Linked DNA regions of Saccharomyces cerevisiae S288C. The gene in region 1 interacts genetically with each later gene. Each region holds a gene or a part of one and is shown on either strand. Other genes may lie near its edges. The genes, in order: PHO91, PHO89 and FEX1.

What was found.
Region 2: mutations in PHO91 (region 1) and PHO89 are lethal when combined (synthetic lethality), as found in Saccharomyces cerevisiae (one study listed by BioGRID).
Region 3: mutations in PHO91 (region 1) and FEX1 together harm fitness more than expected from each alone (negative genetic interaction), as found in Saccharomyces cerevisiae (2 studies listed by BioGRID).

Annotation. Positions count from the first base shown.
Region 1 is NC_001146.8:645,461-653,214, forward strand, and holds PHO91 (Pho91p), read right to left. Parts: upstream 6,253-7,754; coding exon 3,568-6,252; downstream 1-3,567. Other genes in the region: DEAH-box RNA-dependent ATPase PRP2, read right to left, coding at 1-1,490; uridine kinase URK1, read left to right, coding at 1,972-3,477; YNR014W (uncharacterized protein), read left to right, coding at 7,005-7,643. UniProt on the Saccharomyces cerevisiae protein: Vacuolar phosphate transporter that probably exports phosphate from the vacuolar lumen to the cytosol.
Region 2 is NC_001134.8:794,436-802,516, reverse strand, and holds PHO89 (Pho89p), read left to right. Parts: upstream 1-3,994; coding exon 3,995-5,719; downstream 5,720-8,081. Other genes in the region: transcription factor MAL33, read right to left, coding at 588-1,994; TYC1 (Tyc1p), read left to right, coding at 2,275-2,394; cation-transporting P-type ATPase PCA1, read right to left, coding at 6,018-8,081. UniProt on the Saccharomyces cerevisiae protein: Sodium-phosphate symporter. Active in early growth phase.
Region 3 is NC_001147.6:1,073,478-1,080,913, forward strand, and holds FEX1 (fluoride transporter), read left to right. Parts: upstream 1-3,306; coding exon 3,307-4,434; downstream 4,435-7,436. Other genes in the region: YOR389W (uncharacterized protein), read left to right, coding at 736-2,610; HSP33 (glutathione-independent methylglyoxalase family protein), read right to left, coding at 5,068-5,781; phosphopyruvate hydratase ERR1, read left to right, coding at 6,799-7,436. UniProt on the Saccharomyces cerevisiae protein: Fluoride channel required for the rapid expulsion of cytoplasmic fluoride.

The DNA.
Region 1 (7,754 bases):
ACTTTCCTACAATTTTCCGGAGTCGGCTGGAAAATTTTCAATTGCTGCTCTTGGGGTAAATTTGCGTATATAGGAGTTATAATCATTTGTTTTGTTCTAGAACCTAATTTAGACATGATCTCCTCCAGTTTGGTTTTTGTTCTTTCAATTTCTTCTTGCCCCGTTAAAAACACCAATATATCCCCCGGTAAACTTTGCGTAGTATGAATTTGAAAAATAGTTGTTATAGCGGCATGTATATAGTTTGCCTCCGGCTGTAATGTGTAGTGGATATCTACAGGATATCTTCTCCCAGGAACGTTGAAAATGGGACAATTATCAAAAAACTCTGAAAATTTTTTTGCGTTCATTGTTGCTGATGATATAAGCAATTTTAAAGTGGGCCTCTGCGGCAAAATATCTTTCAGCAAACCTATCAGGATATCTGTGGCTAGAGTACGTTCATGAGCTTCATCAATCATAATACAAGAATATTTGCTTAATTTGGAATCTGTAAGAAATTCTCTTAGTAACATACCATCCGTCATATACTTTAGAACCGTTTTATTTGGGGTTGTTTTGTCTTCAAAACGGATCTGATAACCCACTTCCTTCCCAAGCACAACATTCATTTCATCTGCTACTCTTGCAGCAACAGAAGTGGCCGCCACACGACGTGGTTGTGTTATGGCAATCTGTAACTTTCCCTGATCAGTGAATCCATCTTCTACCAAATATTGGGGTAACTGTGTGGTTTTACCAGAACCGGTTTCACCCATTATAATCAAAACTTGATTTTTTTTGATCTCTTGTAGTAGCTCATCCTTGTATTGATGTACAGGCAAAAGTTTTCTTGCCTCTTGTATAGTCAGTATACGCTTTTCCTCAGTTTCTAAAGCTTGTGCTAGACGTGCCTCATATTGAAGTTTCTCTTCAGGTAGTAAATCGTCCTCCTCATTAGTATAATCAATCATTGCATCTGTGTCGAACACATAATCGTACTTGTCAGAGCCTTCCAATGTTATATCATCAGGGTGATCGCTTTGCCCCGCCATAGCATTTCGCAATTGTTGTTCTTCCCACATGCGTTGTCTGTTTATTTTGTCAATTTCTTTTGCATTCTTTATTTTATGAGTAACTTCTACGTTAAATTTAGAATTAGAAGAGGCGTACTTAGTTTCATTCTCGGAGTCACCTAGTAGACCCTTCTTTGTAGTAAGTTCATTATTTGACGTTATTTTTTCATCATACTTTGATGACTTTTTTTGTGATCCAAGTTGTTCTCCTTTTAAATTGTTCTTTTCTGGACCTTGGTTCGTATTAGAAAAAACTTTATTGGGGTCATAGCGTGATCGTTTTAGCTGCAAGGCAGAGTTCTTATCCTTGGCCTCTTTGTCTTCTTCCTCACCCAAGGAAGAAGGCTCTATTCTTACTGCATTGTCATTCTGTCTTGTAACTTCATACGTTCGTTTCACTCTTCGCTTACCGGTTTCAGATGTAATACTTGACATGTGTTGCTATACACGCTTGTTATCTATATAGATGCCAATTAAACATATAGCAGCTATCCGTTATTACTTATACAATTGATTAATATCACTTTTTAATTGTCCGGGTAACTAACTGTCTTCCACTTTCAGCACGTTCTCGTCATCAGGTTGTATGGGCTAGTACTGTTTTGGCTACATTTGAGATACGAGCACTTAAAGAATTCTTGCATATTTTCGATGATTAGTCTTTAATTTTCCCACTTGTTCTCACTATTTCCTCTATTGTCTTAATACGCTCACATATCGAAGTTTTTTTTTCATGCGATGAGCTTCGAGATGAAAAAAGGAAACTGAAAAATTTAGATCGATAAGATAAGAGATGTGATTTTTTTTTTTTTTCGTAAGGCTGTAGGCCTTGGATAACGTCTTATTTACTATTTATATGCGACATCTTCGATAATTTCATACGTTTAATTTCGAACTCGCATTTATTTTATTTATTATGTCCCATCGTATAGCACCTTCCAAAGAACGATCTTCATCATTTATTTCAATTTTAGACGATGAAACAAGAGACACATTGAAAGCTAATGCAGTCATGGATGGTGAAGTAGATGTCAAAAAAACAAAAGGAAAAAGCTCTCGGTATATCCCACCATGGACAACTCCATATATAATAGGTATAGGTGGTGCTTCAGGTTCAGGCAAGACAAGCGTTGCTGCTAAGATTGTGTCGTCAATTAATGTTCCCTGGACAGTATTAATATCTTTGGATAACTTTTACAATCCATTAGGCCCAGAGGACAGAGCCAGAGCCTTTAAAAATGAATACGATTTCGACGAGCCAAATGCCATCAACTTAGATTTGGCATATAAGTGCATTTTGAACTTAAAGGAGGGCAAAAGGACAAATATCCCAGTTTATAGCTTCGTCCACCACAATAGAGTTCCTGATAAAAATATAGTCATATACGGGGCCAGTGTGGTAGTTATCGAAGGGATCTACGCCCTTTACGATCGCCGATTGCTGGATTTGATGGACTTGAAAATTTATGTTGACGCTGATTTGGATGTCTGCTTAGCAAGAAGATTGTCGAGAGATATAGTTTCCAGAGGGAGAGATTTGGATGGTTGTATTCAACAATGGGAGAAATTTGTGAAACCAAATGCGGTAAAGTTTGTGAAACCAACAATGAAGAATGCAGATGCTATCATTCCATCGATGAGTGATAATGCTACAGCGGTAAATTTAATCATTAACCACATCAAGTCAAAACTGGAACTAAAATCAAATGAACACTTAAGAGAGCTAATCAAATTGGGCTCTTCTCCTTCACAAGATGTGCTTAATCGTAACATAATTCATGAATTGCCGCCCACCAACCAAGTTCTTTCGCTGCATACTATGCTTCTAAATAAAAATCTAAATTGCGCGGACTTTGTTTTCTACTTTGACAGGTTAGCAACAATTTTGTTATCATGGGCACTTGATGACATTCCTGTAGCACATACGAACATAATTACACCTGGTGAGCATACCATGGAAAACGTTATTGCCTGTCAATTCGATCAAGTTACAGCTGTTAATATTATTCGATCTGGCGATTGTTTTATGAAGTCTTTGAGAAAGACGATCCCCAATATCACAATTGGTAAATTGTTGATTCAGTCCGATTCACAAACTGGGGAACCTCAACTGCATTGCGAATTTTTACCCCCAAATATAGAAAAGTTTGGCAAGGTTTTCTTAATGGAAGGTCAAATCATAAGTGGTGCGGCCATGATCATGGCCATCCAGGTGCTTTTAGATCATGGTATTGATTTGGAAAAGATTAGCGTGGTGGTTTATTTGGCCACTGAAGTTGGTATCCGACGTATATTAAATGCATTTGATAACAAAGTCAACATTTTTGCTGGTATGATCATCTCCAGAGAAAAGTTACAAAATCATCAATACAAATGGGCATTGACCAGATTTTTTGATTCAAAGTATTTTGGTTGTGATTGAGAATAATTAGAGGCAATATAAAGTAAAATTAAATAATAGTGCACGTATACATACTATATTAGTAACCTTTCATTCTCTCTATGGATAATCTTAAAATCCCATTACTTTCAATATGCCATAACCTACTGTAACAATAGCGGCATAACTTAACAAACTGGCTGGTACACCTCTCGTAATAAATGTACCCACGGTCAAATATCTATCACCAACTTCATCAATCATTGAAATGGCAGTCACGTTGGGGAAACCAGAGGTTGGAAGACCCATAGCACTAGAGCATAATAGGGCGGCTATAACGATCAATAGTCTAGAATGATCACCTGAAGGTAGATTGGAACCGATCTCACTCATTAATGGTACGATGATCATTGCCGCGACGGTATGGGAGACAAAAGTGGCCATTACAAGAATCACTAGACCGAAGATCAACACAATAATGAAGATTGGTTCATGCTCAACCTGCGCCTTAATTAACTGTGCCATTGTAGACAATAAACCGGATGAGCTTACCGCCTTACCTAGGGTGGTACCTCCCATGGCCAAAACAACGATTGTCCACATGAAATTATTGAAATCATCCGAAGTTAGAAGACCTGTACCGAAGAAGACTACTATAGGTATAATAGATATGATTCCCATTTCACCAAAGATACCGGAGATTTGGTTTGAAAGACACCAAAGAACAATTGTTATAATGCAAACTAAAGTGACAAACCATTGCTTCAGAGTGAATGGATCACGGGATGGATGCAATTGCAAAATTTTCACATTTGGCTCAGGAGGGAAGGTTATGATCAATAGCACCCAAATTGCCATGACACAAATAAAGCACACAGGTAGCGCAATCATAAACCATTCAGCCCAAGATGGTGAAGGGTCCATTATACCAATAGAAAAAATGTTTTGAGGAGAAGCGATGGGAGAAGACATACCACCGATATTGGAGGCAAGAGCGATACCAAGAATTAGAGCTTTGGCATAGGAACAATTTCTTGGCAGTGTTCTGAGCAAAGGTTGAACAATTGAATAGCAAAGAACGGGGGCAGCAACATTAGAAACCCACATGGAAACAAAGAGCGCCACAAACATATTTGTTAAAAGAATAAAATGTGGGTTTGTACCGGCGGATGCCAAAATATGCGTAGAAAGGACTTTGGCAATGTTGTACTTGGAAAGGGCGGCTGCTAAAGTAAACCCACCCAGCAAAAGCATGATGACACTCGACCACATCGTTGATAAGATGAACTGAGAGGAATCACGGGGAGACATTGGTTGGGAGGTGATAGGGTCCTTGATAACAGGGAACACTACAATAAGCAGAGGAATCATTAGAGAAGTCACGAAAAGGGGGATGGTCTCAGTGGCCCATAATAAAGATGCATATATTAAGATGGCGAAACAGTTTTTCTGTAAGGAATCCTGCGTAAAAGGAGTCAAATTAAAAGTTAATAATGCAATGAAACATGAGGTGATTAACAGAAACTTCAGCAGGGAAGTTTGGCCCATGATAAATTGCAACCATTGCTTGGGTGGTAAATGCATGAGTTCACGGAAAGTTAGGGAATCCGTTGATGGAGCGATGATACCGGCGCCACCACTCGACATTGCCATGGATTCAGTAATGTTGGCATTGGGGCGCAATTGACTGGAACTCAACTTTGAAAACTTCTTGTTGTCAGTCTTGGCAGATTGGTACTTTCTCTCCAAATTCATCATATCTTTCCAAACGGTGTTTCTTTCCCAAACTACGTGATCTCTCAAATGAGAGGATAATTCACGCTCAGCATCCTGGAAATCGAGGACTTCTTGTCTGTTGCCATCTTCGTCTTCTTCATTACCGCTGCTGTTTTCGTCATTGTTGATTCGGTCAGCGTCCAAGTTAAACGTATTAGATGGTCGACGCGTGCCCTTGTTCAAGCTAGCGTAAGTGAGGATGGTCTCGGTAATGTGATGCTGAATCCTATTTATTGTAGCAGGATTGAAAACATGCGAATGGAATTTGATATAGTTCAAGTAGTTCTGCTTCAAGTTCGTATTTAAGGACTTGTCAAATTTCTTGCAGATCTTGGAGAACCCGGTCTGGTTCAACTCAATAAAGTCCTTCAACTCGGACAACTGGGTGTAGATCGATATCAATCTTTTCTTTAAAGAGAGCCTATGTTGGGTAAAAGGAGAAAGATACACAGGGTTAGAGTTAGAAAGCGACACTGAAGCGGAGGCCAGGTTTTGCATTGAGTTACCATTATTAGTCGTGTTCGAGACCTGCGTGTGGATGACGGGTGCAGAGTCAATCGACATGTCTGTCAGAGAGGGGTTGGAGTCCGTGGAGGAGACACTACTAAACCTTCTTTGGCGTTGTTGTGACTTAGACTTCCTGTTTCTTGCAACACTTTGCAGTTGATGCTGTTGCTGCTGATTAAACAATTGGGTGGCCTTGTTCGTGTTTTCCAGTTCCATGACATCGTCCTTCAATTCGTTGTAGTTGGCGATAAGACCTGTTTCTTGAGATATGTAGAATTTATCAATTTTTTTCAATTCTTGGTTTAAGGCAGCAACAAATTTAGAGATGTAGAATTGATCATCTGGAGAAGCATCTGCCAATAGCGGCAGATTTTCATCGTTGGCGTCATGTGGCTCCACAACATGGTGCTTATTGTTACTGTACAGCTTATCTTTTTGCAAAGAATAGATCAATTTTTTCAGCTGCGAATAGGCCAGATACTTGGTAGACCATTCTGGTACAGAATTGAATTGTAAGGAATGCGAGAACTTCATGTCAGTCTGCAAGTTACCGTGTCACCTTCACAGTTTTCTTTTTATTTGACTAAGTAAAAAAAGAAAAGAAGTTATTTTTACTAAGATTTTGAGCGGCATTTTTCCTAGTTACTTATCAATTTTCATACATGCAAGACATACTCAATTTTTTTTTTTTTTTTTCAGTTTTAAAATTAGTCCTGATCAAAAAGCCATCACGTGGATCCCCGAAAAAAAACGGATCCGGGTAACCAGAAGTATTTTTTTCAAGGGAATAAAAGTTACCCTACCAAAATAAAAAAATTCAAGTAGGGTAATAAAGTTCCACCCCCCATCAGGATTATCGTTCTCTGACATCACCCACTCTCTGCTCGCTCTCTGCTCGCTCTCTGCTTTCTTTCCCCACGCCGGAGTGATTAAGGCGGATAGGCCCACCTGAACACCTCGCTCAGAACATCAGCGAGAGTTCCAGCCCCTCTACCCCTTACCTCTCGCCGCCCCTCATTTCGGATCAAAAGCAAAAGAACAAAGGGCCTTCGCAGAAACGGAAGGTTTCGACCCCTCGGTGCCGTTTTAATTTCTTTTTCTGGCCAGTTAAGCTTTTTGACTTTCTCGAATCAGCCCAGTGCAAAACAGTACGCATACGAGCACACAAATGTATATATATGTGTATGTATATATGTATATAGGTATGTGTGTGTACATCCGAAGCGTAAACTAATGATCTGCAAGTTTCAGATTTTTTCTCGAAAAATATAACTAATAAACGTTCCATGTCGTCCACGGATATCAAGCCTTGTGCCGTGAACATCCCTGTTTCCGCTCACATCACCTTCCACTACAAGTCGATCGCGGACAGAAGCAGCAGCAGGAGCAGCAGCAGCAGCTCCTGCTCCTCTGCTACATCTAAAGCCTGCTCCCCCAGAGGCAGCTCCGTCGGCTTACCGCCTGCTTTATCAACTGACAATGAAATCGTCGAGACTGTACTTAATGTTTCCGCTCCCGTTGTAGCAGACCCTACGCGGCCCTCATTGTTCAAGAGTAACTACACCGCAGCCTCGTGCTTGACTTCTGACCCAACCTCGCCGTCACTACTGCCCTCTTCTAGGCGCAACTCTGTATTGCCGGCAAGCGACTTCCACCAATGCGCGCATCACAAAAACTTTCAAAGAAGGGCCAGTGAGCCACAACTGCCCTCCTTCGATAATCGCTCGTCGTCCGAGATGAAAAGGTCCGTCTCGTACGCCCAGCATAGCATGATGTTCCCCATCAGTGACCAACAGGAGCCGCAAACATCCGCGTCTCCTAACGACCACTCAGACCCGTCTTGTCCTTGCAACAGACATCACCACAGAAGAAACTCGGTCGCCGTCAAGTTTGACAAACCATTGTATGAGAGACTAGAGACGTAGTTATCCATTCGTCCATCCATCTGTCTATCGTCACACAGCATTTCCCATCCCTCCTCTATACATACATACATATACAGTTCTGCGTGGTCTACGCAGCCATGTATATATATA
Region 2 (8,081 bases), on another chromosome or scaffold:
GGCTTTGAAGTTTTTTCAACTAGAGGTTATTATTTTGTTCTGAAAAAACGTTAATGATTTAAATGAATCATTGTGATGAGGGTCCTAGATTTAAATATCTTGCAAAAAGAAGTACTAATATACAATTTTTTCATTCCCGTTAATGAAAATGCTTGAATTTTTATATTGTATATTGATACACTCTATTCATGTTCCGGCAACAATTATTTTTTTTTTAATTCTGTAAATTTACTTTTTGACGTATTCTTTCAGCATTTCTGTGCTTATGTTAGAATTCAAGAGAGTATTCCCTATTCCTGGTAACGTAAATTCGCTTTGTAAATCAACGATACATGATTCTCATATCCCAACAAAAATGCCACAAAATTTATATTAGTAAGCTGCCCGCTTAAGTATATACTTAATGTAACTGTATATAGAATTATCATGACCATCAGAACTAAATATTACAAACAAGTAAGGCAGGAGTAGAATAATCTCGCCTGAAGAACATAGCTTCTTACACCCTCGAAAAGCAAGACTTAAGAATATCACTCACACTCTATCAGTATATCTATCTCGTATAAGTGAACGGCGTGAACAATAAATTAAGGAATTATGTCGTCTTCATCTTTGGAATCATCATTTAGGCGCAGTGGTCTAGAGATAGGCAAATCGATTAGAGCACTCTGACATTTAGTTGAAAACCTTTGAAACATTTTATGATTGCAATGTTTCAGGGAGAAAACGAACTTGGATACATCGCACAAAATATTCCAAGCCTCCAACTTCATATTGTGATCATACTTATTTACGATATCTACCAATGCATTGGCTACTTCCAATGATTTCATTGGTATTCCAGGACCATGTACATCATACAGGTTGTTTGGAGTTAAGAATATGTCGTCCAGCATATCCTTTGCAATTTCGACCAATATGTGAGCATTATTGGCGTTTGAGAAAAACTTGGTACCATTCATCTGAAACACTAGCTTCCAAGCCAGCGCCCTAATCCAATGTCGAGAAAATGAAATGTCCACATAGCCATAAGACCATGGTTCTATTTCAAGGGATGCTGTGTGAAGCTCTTTCCATATTTTTTTCAGTGAGTCTTCAGTGCAAGAACCGCTAGTAGACTCCGTAGCCAAAGCATCAAAAAAGCATTTACCTGGTACAGTAAATACTCTAATCATCTCAAAAAAGCTATCCAAAGAAAGTCGAGGGTCCGTTACGAACTCTGGCTGAGGTGGAGCTATTGTGGTATCCAAACTTGTAACACAATGAACATATACGGAATAGTATCTTTCCGTCAAGAGAAGCAAATAATACACCTTGCGTAAAAGCTGTTGCTCACGAAATGATAGTGATTCGTATGCTTTTTCACGATGTAACCCTGCTACAATAACAAGGCCAATAGCTTCACGACAAAGTCTGTATGAATTTCTTACATCAGAAGACTGTGAAAAACAACGTAGCAAGCAATAATATGTCATAATTCGGAAAATGTCTCTGCCGCTAAGGTCATCAAATTGTTGGCGTGAGGACATACAGAGAACGGCTAATTGTTTTCCAGTAAACGAAAATCCCCCCTCAGATTCTAATTCGCTTTGTAGATCGCTAAGATTGGCTGCTGAAAGAGCTACGAGAAACCAATAAACGTAATGGTCATTGTATTCTTCGTCCAAAAGCTTGTGAAGGTCATCATAAGAGAGTAAAGGCCAGATAACATATAGATTGTCGTGATAAAGCCTCAAACACTGATCAATCACCTTTTTAGGAACCTTCATTAATATTTCTGCCGCTGCCGTACAACTTTTATTATCTATAAACATTTTGGCCTTTGGTATATACTTTAAGCTTCTAGTTCCAATAGGCTTTGAGCCTCTTTTTTTTAATGGTTGCTGATATGTGCAATCGAAATTGTGCTCAATACAGCGACTACATGGTTTTTTACCATCACACTTTACTCGACGGACACGACAATAGTCGCATGCATACTTGACTAAAGTCATATTTAGAACATAAATATCTTCAAGATGCTCTCGTTCGATGTTTGATATTCAATATTTACACTCTAGTGTTTTCCCGAGAAAGAAACCTTCTGAAATGATTTTTTGTTCCTTTTTAATCTATTGAAAAATGGCGGTACGGACAATAAAATCCGGGGGCGGGGTAAATTGCGCATGGCCGTGGAATGTCACTGCAAAGTGAACGAGAAGATTAGAACACGGAATAAGGAAAACTTCTGGGGAATTTATTTTTCAAGATTTGGTTCCAGGTTTTTCCCCAGAAATGAAAGTGCTAGATGATTGGTTTTCAAGGAAGTTCTCAAAAGCTGTACACGGAAACAATCACGGCACCATTTCCTTGTCAACTCTGTCTTATATCAGAGTCCATAAACTAGTAAAATGACTTCGTAGAATCGAACAATATCTCACCATAAAATTTTTTTCACAAACAAAAAAGACGCTCTATTATACAAAAAGCTGCTGCGGCCCTTCTTAATGACTAAATCTTGACAACTGAGCTCTTTCACACCTGTGCAAAATCCAATGGGAGCAATAAATGTAACATATTTTTTTAACATACCACGGTAGGGCAATGAATATAAATAGATATTGGACCGTATCCTTTTCTGATCATCTTGAAAACATTGTCTTGCCTCTCAACAGCTTTATCTATTCTTCACCTCTCTTCGTTTGACTATTTCAGCATGTATTTTTTCACACAATTTTTCTTCCAACTATTTTCCAATATTACTACGAGAATTCCGACCACGGAAAAAAACTTGCGCTGTTCCAATCAGTCCCATTCTATCCATCTACCTGCCAGTGGTTTCGTAATATCGACTCACACCAGTAACGACATAACTGTTTTTTCGTTCATGATTTAATAGCGAGCCCACCTTTAACGCATATCTGCTTCACCGCTGAAATAATATTTTACGAGCACGCTAACACAATGCTTGTGTTTTCTGTTGAAATCACAATACCGTTACTTGGAGTGACCATTTATGGTTTGTTGAATTCACAGTACTCTCGTCAGCTTTGTCACGTATTCAACTGTAACCTCTTTGAATCTCAACACTACGTTGTCTTCGCGTGTACTAAATGTATCGATTATATAATAGTATTTAAAAATCATTTAAAATTGCACCATGTACTGTATAATGATTTTCTCAAGACGATATTTCGAGTTTTGCCGATGGGTCTTATAATCTCTTTTGATAGAGATACCTACTTTTAACAATATCAAAATTACTGATATAGGTTAATTTTTGTTCACGAGTAAGTACTTCAGTGACACTCGTCAGTAAAGAACATTAGCGGAATCGTTATAATTTCATTCCTTACATCCGTTTAATTTCATTAATTCGATGCATCTTTCTTTGGCGAAGCCAGAAAATCTAGTTTCAGAAATCTCGGTTTCACCCGCAAAAAAGTTTAAATTTCACAGATCGCGCCACACCGATCACAAAACGGCTTCACCACAAGGGTGTGTGGCTGTGCGATAGACCTTTTTTTTCTTTTTCTGCTTTTTCGTCATCCCCACGTTGTGCCATTAATTTGTTAGTGGGCCCTTAAATGTCGAAATATTGCTAAAAATTGGCCCGAGTCATTGAAAGGCTTTAAGAATATACCGTACAAAGGAGTTTATGTAATCTTAATAAATTGCATATGACAATGCAGCACGTGGGAGACAAATAGTAATAATACTAATCTATCAATACTAGATGTCACAGCCACTTTGGATCCTTCTATTATGTAAATCATTAGATTAACTCAGTCAATAGCAGATTTTTTTTACAATGTCTACTGGGTGGACATCTCCAAACAATTCATGTCACTAAGCCCGGTTTTCGATATGAAGAAAATTATATATAAACCTGCTGAAGATGATCTTTACATTGAGGTTATTTTACATGAATTGTCATAGAATGAGTGACATAGATCAAAGGTGAGAATACTGGAGCGTATCTAATCGAATCAATATAAACAAAGATTAAGCAAAAATGGCTTTACATCAATTTGACTATATTTTTGCCATTGCCATGTTATTTGCATTTTTGGATGCCTTTAACATCGGGGCAAACGACGTGGCGAACTCATTCGCGTCGTCGATCTCTTCTAGATCTCTAAAATACTGGCAAGCCATGGTTTTGGCGGGTCTCTGTGAGTTCTTGGGTGCTGTCTTGGCAGGCGCAAGAGTTTCTGGTACTATCAAGAACAACATTATAGATTCCTCCATTTTTACCAACGACCCCGCTGTTTTAATGCTTACTATGACCAGTGCTTTGATTGGCTCGTCTTGTTGGTTAACATTTGCTACTGCAATCGGAATGCCAGTTTCTACTACACATTCCATTGTTGGTGGTACAATTGGCGCTGGGATTGCAGCCGGTGGAGCTAACGGTGTCGTTTGGGGTTGGAGTGGTGTTTCTCAAATTATTGCGTCATGGTTCATTGCTCCGATTTTGGCAGGCGCGATCGCAGCTATAGTTTTTTCAATTTCTAGGTTTTCTGTCCTTGAAGTTAAGTCTTTGGAAAGATCGATTAAGAATGCTTTACTGCTGGTTGGTGTTTTAGTATTCGCCACTTTCTCTATCTTAACAATGTTGATTGTCTGGAAGGGTTCTCCAAACCTACACTTGGACGATTTATCTGAAACTGAAACTGCCGTATCTATTGTTCTCACAGGTGCAATTGCTTCGATCGTTTACTTCATCTTTTTCTACCCATTCTACAGAAGAAAAGTTTTGGACCAAGATTGGACACTAAAGTTGATTGATATTTTCAGAGGTCCATCTTTTTACTTTAAGTCCACTGATGATATCCCACCAATGCCAGAAGGCCATCAATTAACAATCGATTATTACGAGGGCAGAAGAAATCTTGGAACAACTGTTTCTGTTGAAGACGAAGAAAATAAGGCAGCGAGTAATTCTAATGATTCCGTCAAAAACAAAGAAGACATCCAGGAAGTGGACCTGGTTAGAACTGAAACTGAACCAGAAACAAAGTTGTCAACGAAACAATATTGGTGGTCATTATTAAAGCAAGGACCTAAAAAATGGCCCTTATTGTTCTGGTTAGTAATCTCTCATGGTTGGACTCAAGACGTCATTCATGCTCAAGTTAATGATAGAGATATGTTATCTGGTGACCTGAAAGGAATGTACGAAAGATCTAAATTTTACGACAATAGAGTAGAATATATCTATTCGGTTCTCCAAGCCATTACTGCAGCCACTATGTCTTTTGCTCATGGAGCTAATGACGTTGCCAACGCTACTGGTCCTTTGTCTGCTGTGTATGTGATCTGGAAAACTAACACTATTGGGGCAAAGTCCGAAGTTCCCGTGTGGGTTCTGGCTTATGGTGGTGTTGCCTTAGTTATTGGTTGCTGGACTTATGGTTACAATATTATCAAAAATCTAGGTAATAAGATGATTTTGCAGTCGCCATCAAGAGGCTTTTCAATTGAACTAGCTGTTGCTATTACTACTGTCATGGCTACCCAATTAGGTATTCCTACCTCAACAACCCAGATCGCCGTTGGTGGTATTGTCGCTGTTGGTTTATGTAACAAGGATCTCAAATCAGTTAATTGGAGAATGGTAGCCTGGTGTTATTCTGGTTGGTTTTTAACTTTACCAATTGCTGGTTTGATTGCCGGTATCATAAATGGTATCATTTTGAATGCTCCTCGCTTTGGTGTGGAATACCAAATGACATAATCATAATGTGTTTCGGTTATGAATACAGTTTTACAACATTAGGTAGAACTTTTATTGCTCAGTGACTTTAAAGTTAAAACATTTCTAATTTAAAACCTTAAAGATGCATTAATTTTTTTCTAATTTATCAGTTGATCTGCAATTACCTGGCATGGCTATGTGTATTTTTTTTTTTTATGAATTCCATCATATTAAATAGAAAACTAAACTAAATAATAAATAGAGTATTACAGAGTCGTCAAAAAAAAAAAAGAAAAGAAAAAAGAAAATCTACAATCAAATAGCAGCAGTACCTGGACTAAATCTTTGCATAACGCAGAAGTATAGCTACAAAAATTACAGGGAGGATACTAACTAGTTCCCCTAAACCCGCATACTCTGGTGGAATATGAAAGTCAACAAAGGCACCAGCCGCCAAAAGGATAGCAAATAAGTTGTAAGTAAAACTCCATAAGAAATTCAATTTGACCCTAAACATGGCCTTTTGACTTACAGTTATCATAGTCAAAATATTGTTGAGCTTTGGCTTTAACATAACTACATCAGCAGCTAGCTTGGCAACCTCACTTCCCTCATTGATATGAACTCCAATCGTTGCTTGAGTCAAACCAATTGCGTCGTTTGTTCCGTCACCGCAAAAAACAACAACCGGTCTTTTTGACTGCGAAGAACTATCGCAATTTCTTCCTTCGACAATATCCTTAATATATTCACTCTTTTCTGCAGGCGTTGCGTGAGAACGAATATTGGAGCTTTCAATTCCAAGACGGGCTGCCATAGAACGAACGGCTCCATCGTCATCCCCTGATAAAATGTGTAGTGAAATCCCTCTTTGGCGTAACAAGTTAATAGTGGAGACAGCATCTGCCCGTAAAGAGTCCTCTAATGCATAAACTGCAGTGACTGAACCATTAACACTAAAACAGAATACAGAATATCCTTGTTCAAGGGCTTTTCGAACGTCAGGATCATTGTTATGACCAAGCCAACGACAGTTCCCTCCTTGTAACTTCAAACCAGAGTATGATGTTCCTTCTACCCGCTTACCAGTCACAGCTTTTGTATTAGAAACATTTTGAGCAGAAACACCTTTTTCTTTGAGATAGGATGCTATTGCCATGGAAACTGGGTGTTTTATTCCTTCAGTTAATCCAAGCAACAAAGATTGAGAATTATGACGATCACCCCTAACAGTTTCATGTACTACAGTAAGTTTTCCTTCAGTTAGGGTACCCGTTTTATCGAAGACAACATGCGAAGTGTTGTGAGCAACTTCTATACTCTCTGCTGATTTGAAGATTACCCCTCTTTTCGCAGCGACGCCACTTGCAATAACAAATACGATAGGAACGGCAAGTCCAATCACGCAGGGACACGAAACGATAAGTACCGTAATGGCATATATAATGGCCTGAATTACGGCATCGGAGCGGGATTGCTTTTCCACACGGATTCCAACCGCTATCCAAACGCAAAAGGTGACGACAGTGATTCCAATGATAGTTGGCACGAAATAACTTGCAATTTTATCAGCGATATTTTGGATCTTTGGCTTAGTTAATTTTGCTTCATCAACCATCGTGGCTATGGTACTAATAGTATTGTTCCCTGGAAGCTTGCTCAGCTTCACAAACAAAGTACCAGTGCCATTCACCGATCCTGCAACAACAATTGATTGACACTTTTTCGGGACTGGCATAGATTCACCTGTGATTAACGCTTCGTCGACTTCAGAAGACCCAGAAATGACTGTTCCATCAGTTGGGATTCTTGAATCAGGTAAAACCTTAAAAATATCGCCATATTGGAGAAGTCTAATATTAATTTCCGTCTCTTTACCAGTTTTATCCACCAGAATAGCAGAAGAGGCCTGTAAGGAACGTACTGATATTGACTTTACAGCCCTATGTCTAGCTAGTTCACTCACAAAGCGACCAACCATGATGAGAGTTACAAGCAAAGAGCTGGTTTCAAAAAACTGCTCCGTAGATAACGGGCGTCCAACAACGAAATATCCAAATGATACAATCGAAAATATGTAGGCAGCGCTAGTGCTTAAAACTATTAGTAGATCCATTTCAATGAGCCTGGAAAATATCAAACTCTTCAAGGCATTTAAGTAAAACGGTCCTGCAATAACAAATTGAATAATAGTTGCTAGCACCATTGACGCGGAGATAGTGGAAATTTTTTCACGAAGCTGTGGAGCCCAAGCCATCACGAGAATCGGGATCGTCAATATTATGGATAAAGCGGTCGTGCAGCCTACACGAACTAAATGCTTCCTTCCCACTTCAATGGTTGGATGACAACTGAATGGAGCAATACTAACAGGCACGCTCCATCCTTCATTGACAAGATC
Region 3 (7,436 bases), on another chromosome or scaffold:
TACATTTCGTACTGAATGTTGTATAAACTCTATGCTTCTAAAGATTTATCCAAACCGTTGGAGCTTTCCCTTTATTTCTACATAGGTTTCGAAAACGGTCTCCTACGGAGCTTCTCCTTTTATGGCGATCTGTTTTTAAAGTGTTTTTTAGAAAACCATTAAACTCGAGGCTTGGTTTATTTTTGCCTTCGAGATAATTTTCTCTTTTCCTAAGAAATTTATGTTACGCCAACAAAGACAACTAATAAGGTCTCAGTTCCTCTTGATCGTTAGCGATAATGCTTTTTTTTTGCACTTGCGGAGTGTAAATATCTATAGAAAAATAAACCACTTGAACAAGGGGAGCTTCAAGAACCTTTATGCATATTATCGAAATTTTTAGAGAAAGGTTCACGATTCAAGCTTTGTTTACCAATGTGATGTATTACAGTGTTCATGTCACTTGCATTGACATTGTCTTTACACCACATTAAACACAAGTTAACAACCGTTCTCCGGGCAAAGCGAGACGATGCAGTAATCAGCGGCAATGAACTACGTATGTAAAAAAAAGATCGGGGTGTAAAAATTCTATGCCAAGAAAAAAATTAAAAACAAAATAAAAAAAAAAAGAAACTTGCGGCTCTTCACTCTTAAAAGACAAAAAGTATTAGGATGATAAAAAAAATTCATAAAAAAAAAAAATTCTATGGCCTCAGTTCTCGAAGAGCCCATTTATAATTGTTTACATAAATAATGAGATTCCACCGTCAAGGTACCGCAGCCACCGTAGGCGTACTGCTCATTGTGCTGCTTGGTTTCTGTTGGAAATTATCTGAATCTTATGGCATAGTGTCAACTGCCCTACCACACAAGCAACCTGCAACCAAAATCACAGACACACCTTCTATACGATGGGATAATTACCATGAGTTTGTCAGAGACATTGATTTTGATAACAGCACGGCTATCTTTAATTCCATTCGAGCTGCTTTAAGACAGTCTCCATCGGATATACATCCTGTCGGAGTATCTTATTTTCCCGCTGTAATTCCCAAAGGAACTTTAATGTACCATGCCGGATCAAAAGTGCCAACTACCTTCGAATGGCTGGCTATGGACCACGAATTCAGCTACTCTTTCGGCTTGAGGTCACCATCCTATGGGAGAAAATCTTTGGAAAGAAGGCATGGGAGGTTCGGCAATGGCACCCATGGTGATCATCCAAAAGGGCCACCACCACCACCACCACCAGACGAAAAAGATCGAGGTTCACAAAAAATGCTTACCTATAGAGCAGCACGGGACCTCAACAAATTTCTCTATCTTGATGGGGCTTCTGCTGCAAAAACTGACTCAGGAGAGATGGACACGCAGCTAATGTTGTCAAATGTTATTAAAGAGAAATTGAACCTTACAGATGATGGTGAAAACGAACGAATGGCCGAACGACTCTACGCTGCTAGAATATGCAAATGGGGGAAGCCATTCGGGCTTGACGGAATTATCAGGGTAGAGGTTGGCTTTGAGGTCGTTTTGTGTGATTTTTCGGCTGATAACGTCGAACTTGTTTCAATGTTAGAAATGGTCCAGCCTAACCAGTACCTAGGCTTACCAGCACCTACCGTTATATCGAAAGAGGAAGGTTGGCCTCTGGATGAAAATGGAAACCTAGTTGAAGATCAGCTAACAGATGACCAAAAGGCGATTCTGGAAAGAGAAGATGGTTGGGAGAAGACTTTTTCTAATTTCAACGCAGTTAAGAGCTTCAATCAGTTGAGAGCGGGTACAGCGCATGACAACGGGGAGCATCGAATCCATATCGACTATAGGTACCTAGTGAGCGGGATAAACAGGACTTACATTGCTCCTGATCCTAACAACAGAAGATTACTCGATGAAGGAATGACATGGGAAAAGCAATTGGACATGGTAGATGACTTAGAAAAGGCTCTGGAAGTCGGATTTGATGCCACGCAAAGTATGGATTGGCAGTTAGCATTTGATGAGCTTGTCCTTAAATTTGCTCCATTACTAAAATCTGTTAGTAACATACTGAACAGCAATGGTGATATTAATGAGTCAATTGCCATCAATGCAACAGCACTCACATTGAACTTTTGTTTAAGGTTTGAGCCTGCAAGCAACAACAGTGATGAATTCGGTAGCGGGAAAGACTTTGCTGTCTACCAATATGTGAGCCCATACCAGGCCTTAAAAACGGATGCAGACTTTTTGATTTGGTCATCTGCTGTCAGCGTGGTCGGAGAAATTGTTGATGCCATTTATAAAGTGAATGATTTATTGATACCCGAAGTCTACTCTTTTATGACAGATAACACAACTTCCAGCGACTTAATAAAGAATGTCGAAACGGCTCGCTCCACTATCGATGGTTTAATTGAATCTCTAGGGTGGATTGAACTAAATTACCGTTGTGAGAGACAATGCAATTGGGATGAAGTTTGTTACACTCCTTCCTGGGGCCCATCTCCAATGGGTATGACTGAACCAGGTTCCCACAATGAGGGATTTGGAACCCACTTTGATGAATCTCGACAAAGGTTGGTTATTAACAGTAAACTACAGTGTATCAATATAAATGATTTGATGGTTAATCGTAATCATTAGCGCCTCCTGTGAGAAGGCCATTGTGGGACAGTATAAAGGGTATGATTTCTAGATAATCTAATAATGATTATGAAGTTTTTGAGATTTGGGGTGATACACATCTATGAATTACTAAGAGATTTGAGACACAGCGACAGTCATGCCAGCAAGATTTAAGATTTTCTTTATTTAGTGTTTATATACATATCAGATATCTGTTGAGTATTTTCTATTTTACCAAAAAAAAAAGATATGAAATCAAGATAAAACGTCGTATGAAAGACAAGGGAGCTCAGCAGCAATATCATAAAGTAAAGCAACAGCGCTTGGTTTATGTACAATGAACGATCTGAAAATTAGTTGGCAGCGGAGCTACGAATACATGTCAATATTACGTTACGATTGTATAACAGGGGAGGAGAATCGTGCACTTTGATGGGTATATCGAAAGATGGTGACTATGCTAGAGTCACTGTCAGTGAGGAGTTGCGATGTATGAAAGATTCACTGACATAAAGTGGCGCGATTCATGTAGAAGTGTAAATCACTTTTGACGCAATGATGGAAGAGATACAGAAGAGATACGGAAAAAATAAAACAAAAAACAACTGAAATAAGTACTAATGGATTATATTTATTGCCGCCATTATTATTTAGCCTCTGGTGGCTCAAGAATCTGCAGTTATTTAATTATTTAATCGAGCGTGTAATGCTCTGATGATTTTCAATCCGGTCATATCAAATCACAAGTTGAGCCATTATATTCATGTTTTTTGTACATTCACCACGTTCTGCATATTAGGTACTGAAACACGTCAGGCTATAACGGCGCTTTCCACCTACACTCCGGCCTTCGTTACTGCTCCGACCGTTCTCTGGTCTAATTGTTCATCCTGCATGCTAATGGGGATTATGCAATCTTTAAATGCTTACACTTGGATGAAAGATCACCAAGTCTTGTTTTTAGGTGTAACTACTGGGTACTGTGGTGCCCTGTCTTCCTTTTCTAGTATGCTGCTAGAGATGTTCGAACACTCTACAAACTTAACTAACGGTAATATCGCTAACCACACAAAACTGCCGAACAGAGCTTACGGTATAATGGAGTTTTTATCTGTCTTGCTCGTTCATCTTATGGTTTCCATGGGTAGTCTTATTTTCGGTAGGCAACTTGGTAAGGAGGTTATTGTTGCTTATGGATCTAGTTCGTTTTCGAAGCCATATACCCCTCCCTCAGACACTGTAAAGGAAAATGCTGGTGATGTTGATACACAAGAAATGGAAAAAAATATTCTAGAGTTTAAATTCAAAACTCCAGCACCATTTTTTAAGAAATTTTTTGATATTGTGGATAAACTCGCGTATGCACTAGCTTTTCCATTAATTATTTTGTTTGTGGTGCTGTGTGCGTATTATGAGAACTATTCGAGGGGCAAGTGGACACTACCATGTCTATTTGGAATTTTCGCTGGTTTCCTAAGATATTGGTTGGCAGAAATGTTTAATAAAACAAACAAAAAGTTTCCATTGGGTACTTTCTTGGCAAACGTTTTCGCCACTTTATTGATTGGCATATTTACCATGGTGCAACGTGGTAAAAAACACTTTTCTACGGACGTTCCAATTGTGAACTCGTTGAATTCATGTCATATTGTTTCTGCGTTAATATCCGGATTTTGCGGCACTTTGAGTACCATTAGCACGTTTATCAATGAAGGGTATAAGCTATCATTTATTAACATGCTTATTTATTATACTGTTTCGATTGCAATTTCATATTGCTTATTGGTGATAACTCTCGGATCCTATGCTTGGACTAGAGGATTGACCAACCCGATTTGTTAGGATCTTTTCTTTATACTTTTCCCTGCATAATCATCCCACTTTTTTTTTTTTTTTTTTTAATTCATTTTCAAGATTTTAGACGTTGTATAATACATTTTTACCCACTACTGCGGTTTATTGTAATATTTTGTGAGATTTTATGAATGCGTTCCATCATCTATTTACTACAAAACGATAAATTTCCCCGTTTTCTTTTACTTTTACTTCATTTAATATAATTCATATTTATTTCCCATGTACCAATTAATTACTCATAAAAAGAACAGAAATAGAAAAAAGTTGTATATAACAAGCCAAAAAAAAGAAAAAAAAAGGAAAAAAAAGAAAACACAGCTTATTTCAAATTGCAATCTGCGTATTTCGTAAGTAACGAATGATCTCACAGCATTGCTTTTTTTTTTTTTTATATATATATGTACATTACCTATGTCACATATGACCATGATGAATACAACACTAAAAACCAAGGCCTACTATTCAATTGTTCTCTATATGATTTCCATTCTAGCAAAATCGAGTGCTACCGACCTGCCGTTTTCTTTACCTTTCGAACCATTGAGCTGTTAGCCTTCTCTTCACAGAAACTGAAAGTCATTAAAAGCCTCCCCTTCAACAATTCCCTTGTCTTTTGTTTCAGCTATATAATGCGTTTATAGCTCTAATTGTGGTCGAATAGGAAGAATTTGCGTTAACACCCGTAACTAGCTTTCCATCTGTAATAGAGTAGTCATCCCAGGGATGGATTGGCGCCAAGTACTTGGCTCCATTCTTGTTTGCAACGCGTTCAACCGTTGTCAATTTTCTGCTCCTCAAGATGTCGTCAACTCCCAGGGCGATTTCACCCTCGAGTGGGAAACCTGTTATAGCTTTGCCTTCGATTAATGGTCTTGTTGTTTTGATATCTATTAATCCATCGAAAAGGAGCGGTCCATGACAGATGGCAGCGATCACACCCCCATTGGCATATATCTTGGATGCAATATCTTGCAGATTTTTAGCTTTGGGATAGTCAAATAGAGCACCATGTCCAGCAGATGCAAAGAATACTTTATAGTCGCTGGCGTTGACTTCATTTGCGGTCTTGATCCTCGCTAACGCCTTATTGAAGGCGGAATTTTTCGTTTCAAAGTTCATCTTATCTTCGCCACCAATAAAGCTCTTTGGCAAGTAATGTTCATCCCAGCCAAATCCACCAGTCTCAGAAACGAAGTCCACTTCGAAACCATGCTTTTCGAATGTATCGAACGATCGCAAAATCTCAACTACAAAAACGCCTGTTTTCGCACCATCTTTGTAGAAGGGACCGTGGTATGAAGTAAGAGATATTAGCGCTCTTTTTGGAGTCATTGCAAGGCCAGTTTTCTTTTTGAATGAAGGAGAAAAGTGTTCTAGAAATATGTTTTAGTTCTAAGTATCGTTGTCTGGAGCAAGCAAAGAAAAGCAGACCTGTATGTGCAACTTTCCTGTTTTCCATTAAAATCTCAAGAACCGACCCCTTGACTGTGCTCATATATCAAGTATCGGTTTTAAAGTCCCCTAATTGTGATAATTGCAAGAACGACAGTCAGAAAGATATTTTTTTTTTTCTTTCTCTTTACCTATCCTCCATAAAAATACCTATGCTGATACTGAATATCTTCATTTGCAGCTATGCAATATTTCAGATACCCCATTTTACCCAAGAGTTTCTTACTGGTGGTTGGATTTTCTTTAAGACGAGAAGATTACCAGTCCTGGATGTTCGTGAATGTGCCTATTGCGTCATCAGCGACTCCGCGCCAAGAAAAGAAATACTCGCATGCTCGGATTTATAGAATCGCATAATGGAAATACCTTCCTTAAAGGATGGAGATAAGGAAAAAATGACAAGAACAAGGAAGTACTTGGGAGCTTTCTCCGACATGGTAAATATTTGAAACTCACGCAGCTCTCCTGGAAAGTTGGATCTGGAAAGGTAAGGTTGTTTTTTTTACAGACATCAACCAAAATCGGTTCTTGTAGTAGACAATGTCACAGATCGCCACAAGTTGAAAAAAAAGTTTCGATGAACTGGATAAGGGGAGAGGTCACAAACAAAGTGTAGGGGGTGAGTAGTATAGTGGTAACTTGTTCATTTACCTAAATAACATTCTCACTAGAAAAGAGATATTGAAAGACTCCTCGTTTACCTAACTTGGCTGGTTCTTAGGTATATAATAGAAACATGGATCTGGCAGGTTATCACTTACAGTTTGCACTCCCACCAGGTTACAATTTTCATTATATATAGTTATTTTTTACCACCACTTCTTCTTCTTTCACTTTGTCTTGCAATAGAAATACCAAAACAAGGTGAGGAAAAAATCGAATCTCAACGATAAAAATATGTCCATCACGAAGGTACATGCTAGAACGGTGTATGATTCTCGCGGCAATCCGACTGTTGAGGTTGAAATTACAACAGAGAATGGTCTCTTCAGAGCGATCGTCCCATCTGGTGCCTCCACCGGCATTCACGAAGCTGTTGAACTTAGAGACGGGAACAAGTCCGAATGGATGGGAAAAGGGGTGACCAAGGCAGTCAGTAACGTCAATAGTATCATAGGGCCTGCTTTAATCAAGTCCGAATTATGTGTAACCAATCAGAAGGGCATAGACGAGCTCATGATATCGTTAGACGGAACTTCTAACAAGTCAAGGTTGGGCGCCAATGCTATCCTTGGTGTTTCCTTGTGCGTTGCTCGAGCTGCTGCCGCACAAAAGGGAATTACTCTCTACAAGTATATAGCCGAGTTAGCGGATGCTAGACAGGACCCCTTTGTTATTCCTGTTCCTTTTTTCAATGTTTTGAATGGTGGAGCCCACGCCGGTGGCTCTTTAGCTATGCAAGAATTCAAGATCGCGCCAGTCGGGGCTCAGAGCTTTGCAGAAGCCATGAGGATGGGTTCGGAAGTTTACCATCATTTGAAGATATTGGCGAAGGAGCAATATGGACCTTCCGCTGGAAATGTTGGTGACGAGGG